Linked DNA regions of Drosophila melanogaster. The protein of the gene in region 2 interacts with the protein of the main gene of each other region in a pairwise test. Each region holds a gene or a part of one and is shown on either strand. Other genes may lie near its edges.

Evidence for each region.
Region 1: the proteins of CG11248 (region 2) and PHDP interact in a two-hybrid assay, tested with the Drosophila melanogaster proteins (one large-scale study listed by BioGRID).

The regions. Positions count from the first base shown.
Region 1 is NT_033778.4:23,881,441-23,888,288, forward strand, and holds PHDP (putative homeodomain protein), read right to left. Parts: upstream 3,001-6,848; 5' UTR 2,873-3,000; coding exon 2,596-2,872; intron 2,501-2,595; coding exon 2,307-2,500; intron 2,039-2,306; coding exon 1,847-2,038; 3' UTR 1,696-1,846; downstream 1-1,695. Other genes in the region: CG4882 (uncharacterized protein), read right to left, coding at 1-147, 281-620, 675-877; CG5597 (uncharacterized protein), read left to right, coding at 5,638-5,686, 6,434-6,624, 6,685-6,848.
Region 2 is NT_037436.4:21,676,246-21,684,887, reverse strand, and holds CG11248 (uncharacterized protein), read right to left. Parts: upstream 4,839-8,642; 5' UTR 4,736-4,838; exon of another isoform or gene 4,656-4,735; intron 4,589-4,655; 5' UTR 4,582-4,588; coding exon 2,455-4,581; intron 2,394-2,454; coding exon 2,265-2,393; intron 2,209-2,264; coding exon 1,972-2,208; 3' UTR 1,657-1,971; downstream 1-1,656. Other genes in the region: Sfp78E (seminal fluid protein 78E), read left to right, coding at 1,046-1,223, 1,286-1,560; Als2 (amyotrophic lateral sclerosis 2), read left to right, coding at 5,390-7,718, 7,838-8,456, 8,520-8,642.

The DNA of each region.
Region 1 (6,848 bases), on a different chromosome or scaffold from region 2:
GCCAAGTAGGGCAACGTTCTGCTTCAGCTCTTTCAAGGACCCTTCGCCGGAGCCCAATCGAACCATGGCGCGACCCAGTTTCTTCTCTTCGGTATTTTCGCTGGCGTCGTCGGGGTAATTGCGAATGAACTTCACGCGAACTTTTTCCTAGCAAATTCAGGTATGATTAGTAAACTTGGTAAAATGCCAAAATGAACAAAATCTTAAATAGCTATTTATGAGTGAATAAAGTTTCCAGCCGCTTAGCTGATAATTCAGCCACTATCGAAAATCATCTTACCACTTCAACATTTTTGGCAGGAGGTTGAACTTGAGAGGACTCGAAGGGCTTGAACTCCTTGGCGAAGGACCAGAAGGACTGTAGGGCCAGGGACTCCAGCAACTCGTTGTTGCATAAGTTTCTGTCCACGAGAATAGTGGCCAGCTGGGCAGATTCCACCGCGTGGCCATTGTGCAGCAGGAAGTCCAACAGGAAGCAGCCAGAGAACTGGTCCACAAAGAGCCCGTACTGGATGGGATTACGGAGCACCGATATCGTCTCCTGCGGATTGGTGGAGTCCAGCAATTGCTTGACCAAGACACTGGGAATCAGCGGCACCAAACTGGCCTCCTTCTGTTTCCTGCAAGAGTTATCTTATGAGTAGGGACACTACTTCCAATATGGCCGCACCCACCTGAGCTTGAGCAGCCGGTCCACCAGGTCCATGGGACGGTTATCCGGATTGACGAACACATCCAAATCCACACTCGTTACGGCATGACTGCTGCCTGCGGCGAATTTAGCCGGTCCCTCGTGCGCCACCTTGTTGAATTCCGCCGAGAAGTAGGACACCAGTCTCCTGGGTGGCAGTGCGCAGGAAATCCTCGATCGCAGCATTGTCAATTGTCTTTTTTAATTCATAAAGTGTTATAACCAGCCGATTAACAAATAACATGCAGCTGGCCAAAAGAGCAACAAAATCCCTAGCGCGTTCGCCAGTTAATACCGCAGATAGCGGTATTTTCGTATTCGAAAGCATTGAGGGTATTTCGACTTATAATATGTTGCTTTTTCCGGGAACGATGGAATTGAAAATGTCCTTGGAATATTTGAATAAAATAATTAATTTGAATTCTTTTATTCTAAATGAAAAAACACATAAAATAATCAAATCAAATTGCAACAAAACTATTTAAAAAACGGAAGAGTACGTTTTATATATAGTTAAAAGGCTAAATGATATTTGTATATTTATGTATATATTTAATATCTGTATATACGTTTCACTAATGAAGTGTAGAAAAATGTAAAATGAACAACGATTTCACAGTTTATTAAAATCATTCGAGGGTGTTGAAAGGCGGGCACTACTTATAAATTGCAATATTAAGTTATACATCTGGGCACATATGATTTCAATAAACTGCAATTCAATCTTGATCTTGTTAATTAGATCTGAAAGGTATTCACCGCCAATCCCTGCGGTGGGCACTCCACAACAATTGCTATATTGAGCGCACCGAATCGCCACCATCAACTGATTACACGCCCTAATGCCGATCCAATCCACTTTTTCCACCCGATAATGGGATGACAATTTACCCCTGAAGGGCGTGAGGTTTGGTACTTGTAGATGGTGACCCTTCAACCCCCATTCAAGTCCTTGTTTTTCTTCCCACAGGCTTAGCCGGCTGAGCCCTCAAAAGGGTGCTAAGCCAGTTGTCCCGGATGATATGAAAACAAGCAAAGTGTTACACAGATCTTATTTATTTAACGCAATTCGCTCCAAATAGTCAGTAAAAATAATATCAAAATAACTGCATTCATCAAAATGTATACTAATATTTACATAGATATTAGTGGATTCTATATTTGATCGTATAAGCATTTCATTTGACGGCCATGGCCATTCTGGGGTCCCTTGAGAGATGGGCCCAGGTATTTCGATCCTGCTACAGGATTCTTCCGGCCATCCAATTTGCTCGACTTGTCCTTCATTATGTAAATGGCATGCCTCTCCTGCTTGCGAAACTTGGCTCTTCTGTTCTGGAACCAGACCTAAAACACACAATGGTTTTTTTTTTTTTTAATTTCGATTACTAAGTCGTTTTGTATCCTTCAACAGGATATGACTAAATTCGTTTCGATTGTAAGCTGGCTTCGAGAAACCTATAATATTTGAACCTATCAACAGCAGATCGAGTTCTTTTCAATAGTTATATTATATTATGTAAGTATTATTTGTTATATGTTAATTATTGAAATATGTGTATCCTAAACTACCCACTCACTTAACCAGCAATTCAATCTCATTAGTTTTCCTCACCTGAACTCGAGCTTCCGTCAAGTGCAGCTTGGATGCGATCTCTTCCCTGGTGTAGATATCTGGGTAGTGGGTTTCCAGGAAGATCTTCTCCAGCTCGTTCAGCTGGTTGGACGTGAAAGTGGTGCGAATGCGCCTCTGTTTTGATTTGTCGGTCAGGCTCAAGCCGTCGTCTCCATAGGACTTCAAATGGAAGTCTATGGCGAGGTGAGAGTTGGTTCAAGATTACAATCCATAATCGATCCATCCAGGTGCACTGGCTGCAGGTGGAACTGATGGCCACTGTACTTACCCGTGTTGTAGGAGCCAATGTTATGGGTGGCCGGGTAAAACTCGGAGACAGTGGTGATTTTGGAGAACAATAAGCTCGACTCCTGGTTGAGGGAACCCCGGATTGCGGACTCGTTGGCGCAGAGCTTGTAACTGGAGTCAATCATGAGGTTGTAGTGATTTATGTGATTGGCCACGGAGAGTCCTCCTCCATTGGCGCCGCTGTTGTAGAACTCCGAGTTCGCGGTGTACAAACAATCCTTGTCGAAGTTCGCCTTGTTGAGCAGTGAAAATTCCATCGCATCTGCAGGTAAATTCACACACGGCACTCGATTGAAATTTTACAGCCCGCTAATGAGTCATTCGGCCATAAAACACATAGTTATAGTAGCTCCGCGGCCGCACACACTTTTAACTGCCCTTGAATAAATAAGCTTCGATTACGATTGTATCAACTACAGGACATCCACGTTGGACGAACAAGGATGCTGCACTTGTCTCGGGAGAGCGGGACGGAAAATTTCATTCGTTTCCGCGTTTGGAGGCGGTCCTAACGAGCTCCACTCGACATAGGGGTGGAAATCTGACTTTCCGGCGCGTGTCGTGCACTGCGCGAAAATTCACCGCATTTCCCCAATTGACTTGTCACAGCATGTCTAAAGAATTGGTTTTGGTTTTAATTTCATTGATTGCATCGCTGTCTGTTGGCTCTGATCTAATCTTCACTCAGAAATCTTCTTTTCAATGAATATTTCTTCAAAATCTGAATATTTTCCAAGCTCCATCTTTAAGCGAACTTTTCTTTGAGTGCACCAATTTTCACAGGCCTCAAAAAGCAACACTCAGAAGATTAAATTGGCTTATCGGGCAACCATGACGCTGGGATGTCCTGTCTGAGCGATTAAAGGAAATGCTTCTCTGGGATAATATAAAAAGTAAGAAAAATGAAAATCCTCTTTACGTTGCAATAACTCTTAAGGAACAGCCAAAGTAACATAAATTATAAAATATATTTAAACTTCATATATGAAATGGAAAGGGTATCGGACAGTCCGTCATCACGAGTACAGCACTTCGCCAACTTGATAAAACAAATGGTGTTGTACCGCACACAATGGATAAGAGACACCTTACTATCTTTTCTTGTTTATAACATTGGGCTGATTGAAACATTGTTTAAAGTCACTGGCAGGATACAACCCCTGTTTTCGGAAACAATTATTTGCTCTGCGGATTATTTCGATTAGTTAATTCCTGCTAATCAGAGTCCTGCCTAATTTTTATTTACTCTGCGCTGAAGTCCTTTTTTTTTTGGACACCCTAATGCTGGATTGCTAATAGGATAGGCTGGTTGTTCCATGTGCTGAAGCCATTTAGTTAAATTTTCAAAGAAAAACAGTTCCAAATTCAATGTATCTATCTTCGGAAACAATTTCATTGGGATCAGTTTAGTCAAACATACGAGGTAAAAGTTTAGAATGTGCCTCTTTTTCCAGTTGAAAAATGGTCTTAGTTGCCTTTGTGGATTTTACACATTTGCATGGTAGAGTGAGCCTTTTCTTTTCTTAATCAACGAATTGGAACGACTAAGTCTCTAGGAAAACAAAGCCACCTAATAGATGCACATCATGCTCAAACTAACACTCGTGCAAAAAGAAACTCTACTTTGTAGTAATCATTACTTAAATCGCAAGTCTATGTAAATCGGAGAATTGTTATGGCAATCATAATAATACAACATTACGACATTCCGAAAGTTTTGGAATAAGTTACTGTGTTACATTTTAGGTTAAAATATATCCAATATATGTGTAAAATTATAACCTTTCCAATTGTAATTGTATCAAACGCAAAGATATGAACTCATTTTACATTTAATAAATAGTATAGTAACCAGATGTTGGAGGTGATCGACCTGAACGAAACCCACCTGCATTGTTTGCTTAACCCGATCTCAAACCCACCCCGAAAATCCTGTAAAAACAGCAACATATTATTTAGTTATAGAGCATCTAAATGGGAAGCTAGTTTAAGTAGGTTTCAACCTAGTTGTGGGTGCAAATGAGCCTGGAACTACATGCATCGAACAAGTATCAGGTTCTATTGAGTCATTCTGAAAACAACTAACGTTAGTTTGGAAAACATAAAGTAAAGAAAAAGGGTTTATCATGCATAGGTGTGTGTTGCACTTACACACTAACTTGGTATAGTGAAGGCTTTTTCTTTTGCTAATCACCGAGTTGGAACGACTAACTAAGTCTTTACAAAAACTCAAGCATATGGATATACTTAAACCTATGAGTAACTGAACGGCTAATACCCTAAGATTTATTCAATTGTAAACAAATTCGAGAAATTCGACTTAAAAATGCCTTCTATCGGAATTTCAACAGAATTACAGGAATGTTAATGATCCCTATTGCCATGGAGACAGCATATTATTAACGCCAATCGTTACAACAGCCCTTAACTTCGGTCGAGAAGAAGAAAAGGTCCTTAAGGACTACGCTCGACACCCCCTGTCCTTTAACGGTCTTGCATGTTACCCTCGACTATCCCTAGTTGTAGGAGTGCGCCTCAGCTGGGCGGCCAACTGGTTTTCAAATAGTCAACGGCAGCTAGGAGCAGCGGAGAGTATCGAAGCGGAAAGGTTGTGTCCAACCCCCACACATGCAGGGCGACTTGGTTGGTGGTGGTGCCTGGCCAGCTGCGGAGCGATCTCCCCACATGTCCATGCAAAGATCGTGCTTGTGCTCCGAGAGTCGCGCACAAGTCAAGTGGCACGGGCTATGCGAGGAGGAGGAGGGTTAGGGTAGGAGGATCGTGTGCCGGAGAGGAAGTGCCGGCATTATCTCGGCTAAATTCGAATTCGTTTGGTTACGCTGCGTGGTCTTGGCCAAGAGCTCTCGTTCCTCATTTCTCGGTTTTCAGTTTTCGGTTCTCTGGCGGCCAAGAGCATTTAGTTGCCTTAGTTGTACCATGCCGAGCGGACCGCTGAGTTAGGATCGGTTGAGAAGTCTGGCATACGAGTGGAAGTGGAAGTGTAGATAGGATAGTGACCGTTATGGATACCCTGCTGATCGCCATTCTGGCCATCGGACTGCTCCACAGAGGTACAGCCAGATCCTGTGGCGATCCAGCCAGCAACCGATATGGGAAACGCGATTTTTAAATTAAGAAATGAAATCATTCGGAAGGCGCATATAAACGAATTTCGAATGCGCAAACCTTGAGAAAAATAATGACAAATCGGATATCTATAAATACGAACGTATATCCACATTCGGTTCTGAGTTAACATGTGCTAAAACGGAATATAAACAATATATAAACAATATATAAACAATATGTGCAGATTCGATTATCCTTTAATTTGTGGATTTGAACGGGCTGAAGGATTTTACGTGCAATTATTCGTGTTCGAAACTATATGTTTTTCAATGTGGAAAAAGCGCCAGTGGTTTTGAAGTCGGAGCAATAGATGCTAAGTGGAAAGCAAAAGATTCCAGCGAAAGGAACCTAATAAAATTGAACAGAGTTTTCAGAATTTTGGCACACATGATGACAAACTGCCGAATGAAAAATGTTCAATTTTCTAGCTTTTGTTTGTTATTAGTGTCTATTTTTAAAACGAAACAGGCATCCGCTCATCGCGTTTTCGCTTCTCGTAAATATACGCTTTCGCCAAATTATATAGATTTTTGTGTACAATGTGTTTTGGATTTGCCTGTGCTGCATATGTACATATATTCCAAATAATACCGCGCGTGTTCTGTAATTTCGAGACCTCGTCGTGCTAAAAGCTTTTCGTTTCGTTTCTGAATTCTGCGTTCTAATCAGTAATATTCGCTCTCCCCCAGATGCGCTATGCTATCCCACGAGGGATGAGTCCGAGGACAAGATTATAGTCCTTCAGAACGAGGAGATGGAGCCCACGATCCTGGACTGCGACTACGAGGTGGAGGAGAGCCCGAAGTTCATCACCGTCAAATGGTACAGAGACGACAAGTCCATATACCAGTGGATCTTCGGAACACCTCCATATGCCATCGTGAGTGAACCAAACGGTGTGGTGCGCTTAAGATACTAACCGCTTTCCCCTCCTTGATAGCCCGAGTTCAGGAACGAGATTGACAGCACCTATGAGAGCTCCACGGAGCCGAGCAAGCAGTACAGCTCGCTGGCTTTGATCAACCCCACGATCGCCACCACCGGCGACTACAAGTGCGTGGTGCAGACCTCGCTGAACACCTTCTCCAGCCACCAGAGGGTTCA
Region 2 (8,642 bases):
TTATTGGTTTAGTTGTTGCCTGAGCAACACTACTTTCAATCAACTACCAGTCCACGGCACGGGCTGGAGACCCAAAGAAGGTATGGCCCCAAAGAGCATTGGAGCAAGGAGTCCGCAATAATACGACGCTGATCTATTATTCGCTAGATTGTAAAAATGTAAAAATCACGCTTTCGTGTTGTGTATAAATTGAATGCAATTTATAAATGTCCAGAACAGAATTAAATCCCCAGCCGTCGGCACAAGCCACGATCGGGTGATGGTGATTTTTCAAAATAAACAACCTTGAGCCCAAGGGCTCCGCAGCCATATACCTCCATAGCCCATGGCCCCGTGGCTCCATGGCCCCATAGCTCCAGAGATCCAGAGCCGAGAACAATTGCCAAGGCCCAGGGCAACAATAGACGGCAGCAGGCAGAGCCAAAAGGATCCGCCAGATCGGATCCCTGGGAGCCACAGATGAAAAATTGCGCCAATTGAATTTGACCAGCGATTGTTGTCGATTGCTCCTCATCGCGAGCTGGCAGCGGGAGGGGTGTCGAGGATCGGGAATCGGGCAGCCTGGCGTGGGGCCGTGGTAATCCACTGGGCGGTCGCTTAGTTTTCAACGCATTTATCAATACCCAAGTGGATCGCCCTCCTCGTGCGGGTCCCTCCGGATTCCTTTCCAGGCGTTGACAATGCCAAGGGTGTTGTCGGGTACCTACGCCTAATGCATTTCGAACGGAATGGAAAAGAATGCCACCGTCTCTGATTGGAGAATCAATTTGCCACAGCTTAAGTCACCCTGACGAAGACATGTTTCCGCTTCCAAGGCGACTTTCTAAGTGACTGATTGTGAATACAATACAGGAATAACAATTCCCAATGTAAGACGTCCGGAAACGTATATAAACTATAGTGTTATTAAATTCTGAACTCAGTTGCAGGGGTGTATCTTTGTTCTGTGGAACACACACATTACACATTAGGCTGATCCAATACATCAGCAGACTTGTTTGAATCAATCAGTCATAGAGGAAAACTGCATCAGCAAGGTTGAGCTATGAATATCTTTATCTCCTTAATATTGGTAGTGCTGGCCATTTTATCTTTTGCTGACCACACCGTGGTAAGGGTAAATCCGTATATGGAGTATTATGGATCGTACATTTATTTTAAGGCAGACGGAGATCGGCACCTAAATGAGGACTTAAATCGAGCGACGGTAAAGAAGACTAAGTGTATGGATTACATGGATACGAGTAGTATTGGAACATCTATGTTAATAATTATTTCCCCCCAGATGGTTGGCAATGTGCCGGGGTGACGTGCCCCATAAAGTTTACGGCATCTTGTAAGGTAACAAAGGTCCTAAAGCCCTCTGATCTACAGCACACTGAGCTCCTGATTTTGTGCATGGATAAAAACGATAAGCCTATGTGTGGGATAACACGAACTCGAAAAGGGGTAATACAGGAAGTTCTGGACGTGGATGAAAACGGAAATACGATATATGACAAAAAGGAAGTTATTTCGGAGAACGATGGTACTAAAATCCCTAGGTGCCCACGAAAGTAAATGATGTGCACTGATCGACTTCACACAAATATGTTTTATCTACACAAGGTTTTTAACTTTAAATGTTATGGACTATAAAAATAATTACACATTTTTGTGGCAACCAACAATGGTTTATATATCTTGTAGAAAAAATATTGGTATAGTTTGGCAATTAGTATGTATATAGAATTGGTGAAACTAACAGAATGCGTTACACATAAATAAAGATAACGAACACAAAAGACAACAAAATAAATATTTATATAAATTGAACTAAGTTGGATCTGATTGAAAATTAGGCCTATGAGACTAGGCACAAAAACTCAATTCACTAATTGCCCCTTTTAGGAAAACAAAATTTGAGACTAAACAAATAGGTACTAAATAGGAAATTTATAAGTATTTGACTGAAAACTAAATTATGCTCGTCTAAGAGTGCTCGGCCACCGCTCGAAGTTCATCCATGAGGGAGGGCATGGGCTCCACTCTCCTCCGTTCCCGACCAGCAATAATAATCCTGCTTAGCTCCTTCATATCAGACTGGCAGGCGGAAATACCCTCGCCTAATTGGCACAAATTCGGTTGGCATCGCTGACTCCGCTCAATCAGATCGAATATGAAGCTGTTGCGAGGGCGACATGTTTCATTGGCGGTTTGCTGAACGAGCTGTAAATCAATTAAGGAAATGTCAAGAGAAGCCAATCGGAGGGGAACATACTTACCTTCTTGTAGTCATCAATAAGATTAGCCACTTCATGGGCGGGTTCCTGGGGCGTGTTGCTAGCCGTCGATTTGCCCGAGTCCGAGGCCTCAAACCGCGCTCGCTCCATTACCAAAGTGTGCTCCAGACACTGTAAAAAGCAATTAATTGTGTTACAAAGAGTTACTTTAAGGGAGTAAGACATAACATACCTTAATTTTTGACAAAGCTTGCTGATGCCTTCCGCTGATCTCCGCCAGCTTCATTTTAAGCCCAGGAAGCTCTTCAGCCTTTCGATTGTTAACCCTCCCATTTCGCAGTTCCTTTCGAAGAATTTTGGCCAACTGAGGCCAGCTTTTTATATGTGGTAGCCTCCTTCCTGTTTCCATCTCAAGAACGTGACCAAGAGATCGCAAACACTCTACTGCTTTGCGTTCTTCTCGCGCAATTTCCTCCTTCTCATCTAGCAAAGACTTTACCTGGCCTTGCAGCCTTTGCATGTTAATCGACGCAGCGGAGTTTATCTTCAGATTCTCTTGGAATGTTTTCTTCAAAAGCTGTAACTCTAGTCGATTTTCCTCGTCCTGCGCTTGGCTCAATTTCTGGAGCTTTTGCAGTTCATCATTTTGTCCAGCGAACAATTCATTCAGGTGCTCCAATTCAACCGTCTTATGCTGTAGTTCTGATCGCATTTCCTGCTCCAAGCTTTGAGTAGCTTGCAGAGCATCTAACAGTTGTTGCCAGTCTGCTTCCATTTCGTTAGTGCTCTTGATTTTAGCTTCTTGCTGTTGAAGCAGTATTTGGAGCAGCGAAACTGTGTGCAATTTTTGGCTCCTGACATCCGCTAGTTGTTGTTCCAAAGTCTCAATGCGTTGAACTAAAATCGGATCTTCGAGGTCCGTTTGGGTCGCTTGGTTGTGTTTCAACTGCACTTGCCAGCCCTCTGTCTTTTTGATTTGGACATCGATACGGGACTCTGCTTCGGCCAACGCTTTTCTCAGCTCATCACACTGCGCTGCATAATCTTTGAGTTTCTCCATTAGCTCACTTTCCTTTAAGGAACCGTTTTGCTTCATTTTGGCAATCTCGATTTTCTCCAGTTCCAATTGCTGTTTAGTCTTTTGACACAAGGAGCACATTTCGGCATACTGTTTTTGAAGAATGTCCACCTTCTGCTGTAGATTTTTCAAGGTCTTTTGCGCCTCACCTAAATTTTCTTTTAAGCCTTCCTTATCTAGTTGTAACGAAGCCAAAGAAATTGTTAAATTTTCCACCTGCTCCAGTTTTAGAGCATTGCTTTGCCGAAGTTGAGTCTCCTCCAAAAGTTGTGCCTGCAATGCGAACTCCAGTTGCTCAAGCTGACGCTGCTGTTCCTCGCATTGCTCTTTCATGTGAGACATCAGCATCAGCTCGGCCTGAAGCTCGTTAAGAGAATTCTTAAGGCTGGCAATTTCACTCGTTTTTCTGTTGATCTCTTCGTGAAATTTCATGCTATAAGAGTGCATAATTTCCATGCTACTCTCCCGTTTCAGCTTTTGTTGGTAGTACTGTTTCAAATCCAGGAACTCCTGTTCCTTTAGCGCTAACAGATGCTCCTGCGTTTGCAGCGTCTCGTTAAGCTCAGCAATGACTTGGCGCAGCTGATCACGCTCCGCGGTGACACTGCGTAGGGTAGTGCTTCTTAGCTCTAGCTGGTGCTCCATTTGACTTTTAAGGTCAAGTAGTTGCTTGCATTTTCCAGTCACGTGCTTGCTCTCCAGCTCCATGCCGACAACAGTTTGCTGCAACTGCGAAAGTTTTTCATCGTGTTCCAGACTGATCCTCTGGATGTCGTCCAGAAGCATCTTCTTTTGCCTTCGGAGCACGTCGATCAACTGACGCTGATCCCGTAGGCGCGCCTCCTGCTGTTTGGCCTCAAAAGAGGAGTCGTGTGACTCCGAGTCTGCTTTAAACGGCGATGAGCCAGGGGAAAATGGTGAGCCCTGCTCCTGCTGCTTCTCCAGAGTGGCGCATTGTGTGTGCAGGCGGATCGATTCTTGCTGCAGCTTCTGGTTCTCCATCAAATACTTCCGTTCCTGTGCGTACAATCGTTCTAGCGTCTGTAGCCTGCTGTGCTTCTGGGACTTAAGCTCCTGCTTGTACCACTGCTCCGATTTTAAGAGCCTTTGCACCTCACTGCGCGTCCGAAGCAGCTCTTGCCGCACCAGAAAAATCGATTGGTCCGGTTCAGGCTGCGGCGCCGGTTTCTGAGCAGGATCTCCTACTCCATCATCGCTAGTGCAGCTAAAGTGCCCTGAGTCGTCAGCCAAAGCTGTAGCGCCCTCGCAGTCCAAATCCATAACCGAGCTGAAAAAATTTTATTTTAGGAGGGTGAGTTTGTGGCTTAAAACAACTTTTGTGGGCGTATGCAAACCAGCAGTACCACACGGAGGTGTCCACTGAGTCGTACTAGTTGATGTTTCTGAACAATTGTTGACGGTTGTTTTTTTTTACCGTGGGTAACTTTTCCTAATTAACGATAAAACTACATTTTAAGCGAAATAAACAAAACATGCAAAAACTTTTGAGTCGAACAGCTGATGGCAAAAACAATATGACCATATTAAAACAAATTGATGTATCGCAAAAAAATACCAAAATAACTTTTTTGTGTTGACTGGTTCCATGATTATGGCGAATGCAACTAAGGAGTTATTTAAATTTATATAAGAGTTCTAGCTAACTACAATATTGAGTTTACGTATAAGGTATTATGTGTGTTTTCAAAATTGGTTATAAAACAACAATTTGCATGGACCAAATAAATAGTGATAAGCCCAATTTTAGAACGTCACTTTTACCCGAACACCCTTACTTAATAAATTCTCATTGGGACTCGATAGCGCTGGTCACACTAATCCAAAAAACCATCACAAAAACATGAATTCTTATTAGCCAGTTAAGAACAAGTGAAAACAGAATTTATTTTATCGTGGCAGCTAGAGTTGCATTCCGAATCAAGTTATATGATGTTCGTTGGTGCCAGTAGTGCCTAGCGTGGACCGGAGCACGTGCACGATGTGAGAACGACCTGCAGACAAATCGAGCAATTGCGTCGTGTTACAAAGCTTTGGCCCTGTCCAAAACCCCAACAAAAATTTGCACATCATGGCCAGTGCAGCGGATGACTCGGCACTTGGGGGTCAGGAGGAGCGGGAGTCCTTCACCATCTATCATGAAGGCAGGGAGCTACAGCTTCACTGGCGCGGATTGCCGCCCCTGCAGCGGTTTCCCGCATCCCGGATTTGCAGCAATGCCGGCGGGGAACTGCTCCTTCTGACCACTGACCACGCCCTCTACTCCGCCAAGCTGCAGGCCAACCGCGAACACATGGATCTTCAACTCCTGCGTACCGATGTTGTGGATATGGACTTCTGCTCCGGCAGTCAGGAACTATTCGTAGTCCTCACCAATGGCTCTGTGCAGCGCCAAGCCACGGGATCTGGCCGGGATGTGGGTCATCCACATGCGTGGCAAACCCTCGGTTTCGACCCTCTCGAATTGCATGCTGAGGGCGTACGCATCCGACGGGTTTGCTGCTCCGCCCAGGGCGTTGTCTTCGTCGGCGCTAGTGGGGAGACCTATGTCATGGGCAGCTGCGGCGAAGTCTTCAAGGCAGAACAACAGCCTCGGCACATGCGCCTTTACGAAGAGGGCAAGGAACTGTTGGACTTAGCAGCCGGAAACGAGCACTTTGTGATGTTAGTAGCTCCCTACAACCTGGCCGACGATGCACTCCAGCTGTCGGTGGCCAGTGCGAAGGAAGAACCCGAGGATGAACGGGCCTCTGTAAAATCCATAAGCAGTGGCCACTCGGAGCGCAGCGTTGCGGCTAACACAAGGCACCTTCTTCACCAAGGATACGCTCTGCTCCACACCCAACTTTTCACATTCGGAGCCTCCAATAATGGTCTCCTGGGCAGTGGGGATCATATCCGGAGGGCCAATGTGATGCGCTTGCAGAAACTAGACAGCATGGGCGTGTGCAGCATTGCAGCTGGATTAGAGCACACGGTGGCCCGCACTCTGGACGGAAGGCTCTACCACTGGGGCCTGAACAACCACTCTCAGTTGGGTGAAGATGTCAGCTCGCCCATGGAGATCACAATTACGGAAAACACGGCAGCACTACCCATAGAACAAAACTCGGCGCTTGAGGCGACTTGCGGCGACTACCATACACTACTGCTCAATGCCTCGGGTCAAATACATTCCCTTCAACCTGCGCCTCCAATGCGACATCTGCAGCAGTCCAGCACATACGCGCAGACGCTTCTCCAGCTTCAGTTGGGAGCAGCGTGGCCCAGACAACTACGTTTGCTTATGTGTTCTGGCGGATACACACTTCAAAACCAAAGGCAGTTCCAGCGGCAGTATCACTACTATCTGAGTCATCTGCAGTCACAGTTACAACTGCTTCTCAAGCATCGACAGGCAGTCCAAACACTCGAAATCTGGCAAAGACAGTCGGCACTGGAGCCGCTCAGCGCCCTCGGTCCCTTGCTGATCAACTGGGAGAGAATACTGTGCCTGCTAGTGGCCACTTTGCATTCGCTAGAGGGATTCTACCGAGCGGACTTTGTGCAGCCTGCCGACCTGTTGTTTATCTGTCATTACAAAGAGTACATCGATCTGTTTGACGGCTACACAAAGGCCTATTGCGATGTGTTCTCGGTCAATGGATTTGGAGAGGCGGTGGTCGCCATTACTGGACTCAGCAGCCCGCTGGCCGAGCTCAACGAGGAGAGCTACGTCACTCGGTTGTTCCAGCAACCCTTCAGTATCTACCAGCTGTTTGTCCAGTTTATGGAGCTGCTGGTGAGGACGCAATCTGAGTACGGAGAGCATAGGGTGGCCTGGTCGGAGTTCGCGCGGCACAGCTGCATCAGCCAGGAGCTCGCCGTGAATACCAAGGATTTCTGGAGCAGCAACGATAGAAACCCGAGGATTGTGCAGTTCAGAGGACGTCACAGAAGGGTTATTTTGACGTCGGCTTTGGTTCCATTGAAACTAGTCACTTCTGGTATCAGCAGGTCAAGCAACAGTTTCATTCTCTTTTCGGACTTCCTCTGCCAGGTAAGCGGCAACTCGCTGTACTCGTATCCCTTAACTACCCTGTGGGTGTGGACCGAAGGCGACAGCCTGCGCTTGACCACGCCGGAAAAATCCTTTCTGGTAAGCACCCGTTCGCAGGAGATGCGCAAGGTGTGGCTGGACCAGTTGCAATCGAGCATTATAGCGTCCTTGGGCAAACCTCTCGGAAGTCCTGTGCCCAGCTATCGCTCCACGGGGTACGAGTTTAGTCGGGAACACCCAAAGTTCTCCAGGGTGAAAGCGTGCGGTACCTGGAGAAAGGGCGTTCTCCACGGAAATTGCTACCTTGAGTATCCAGACGGAAGTGTATACTGCGGAGAGCTGCAACACGGGATCATTGAAGGTGAGTTATAATTGACCTGGGTGTTATTTAGTTATATAGCTCCTATGTAAATTATCGATGATCATCCAAAACGATAGTTTAGAGATAGAAAAAAGCATTAAAAGAACGTTATTCCTAAGGTTTCGGCAAAATGGTGATTCCGACAACGGGGCTGTATGTAGGTAACTTTAAAGGTGGCCGGTTCCACGGCCACGGTGTTTACGAAATGCACTGTAAGGATTCCCCCGAGAGCGAAGTCTACGAAGGAAATTTTTGCGAGGGCCTGTTTCACGGCCATGGAGTGATGCGGAACAACCGATACATCTACGTGGGCGAGTACCAGGCCAATGCACGCAGTGGATACGGAGTGATAGAGGATCTGGTTAGCGGGGACAAGTACATGGGCATGTTTGCGGATAACAAGCGATCTGGAATCGGCAGCTGCATCACCAACCGCGGCGACTACTTCGAGGGCAGCTTCTCCGGAGACGATCTCACAGGCAGTGGGGTTGCTGTCTTCGAGAACGACTATTACTACGAGGGCGAACTCACGCTCCTCGGCCCAAACGGACGGGGGGAATACTACATGCCCAGTGGAGATGCCTGTGGAGGAAGCGGTGCCATGGGGACCGGGGAGTTCGACGACACTTGCGAGCTTATTGGGAACAAAATGTTTGGACAGCTTAGTGGTACTTGGGACACGGTGCGGATACAGGCCGGTGAACTGGTACTAAATCGGCGCTTTCCTAAGTACCCCAGGTGAGTCAATAAGAACCCACAAACGTACTTCAATGAAAAAATAATATAATGGCTTTACTGCAGCTCCCTTGGGCGCCAAGTGGTAGATCACAATCGCAAGTGGCGATCATTGTTTAACAACTTTGAATCGGACCTTGCCAATTGCACGGCAAGCACTAGCAGCTCTGGAGGCAATCAATCAGCTGG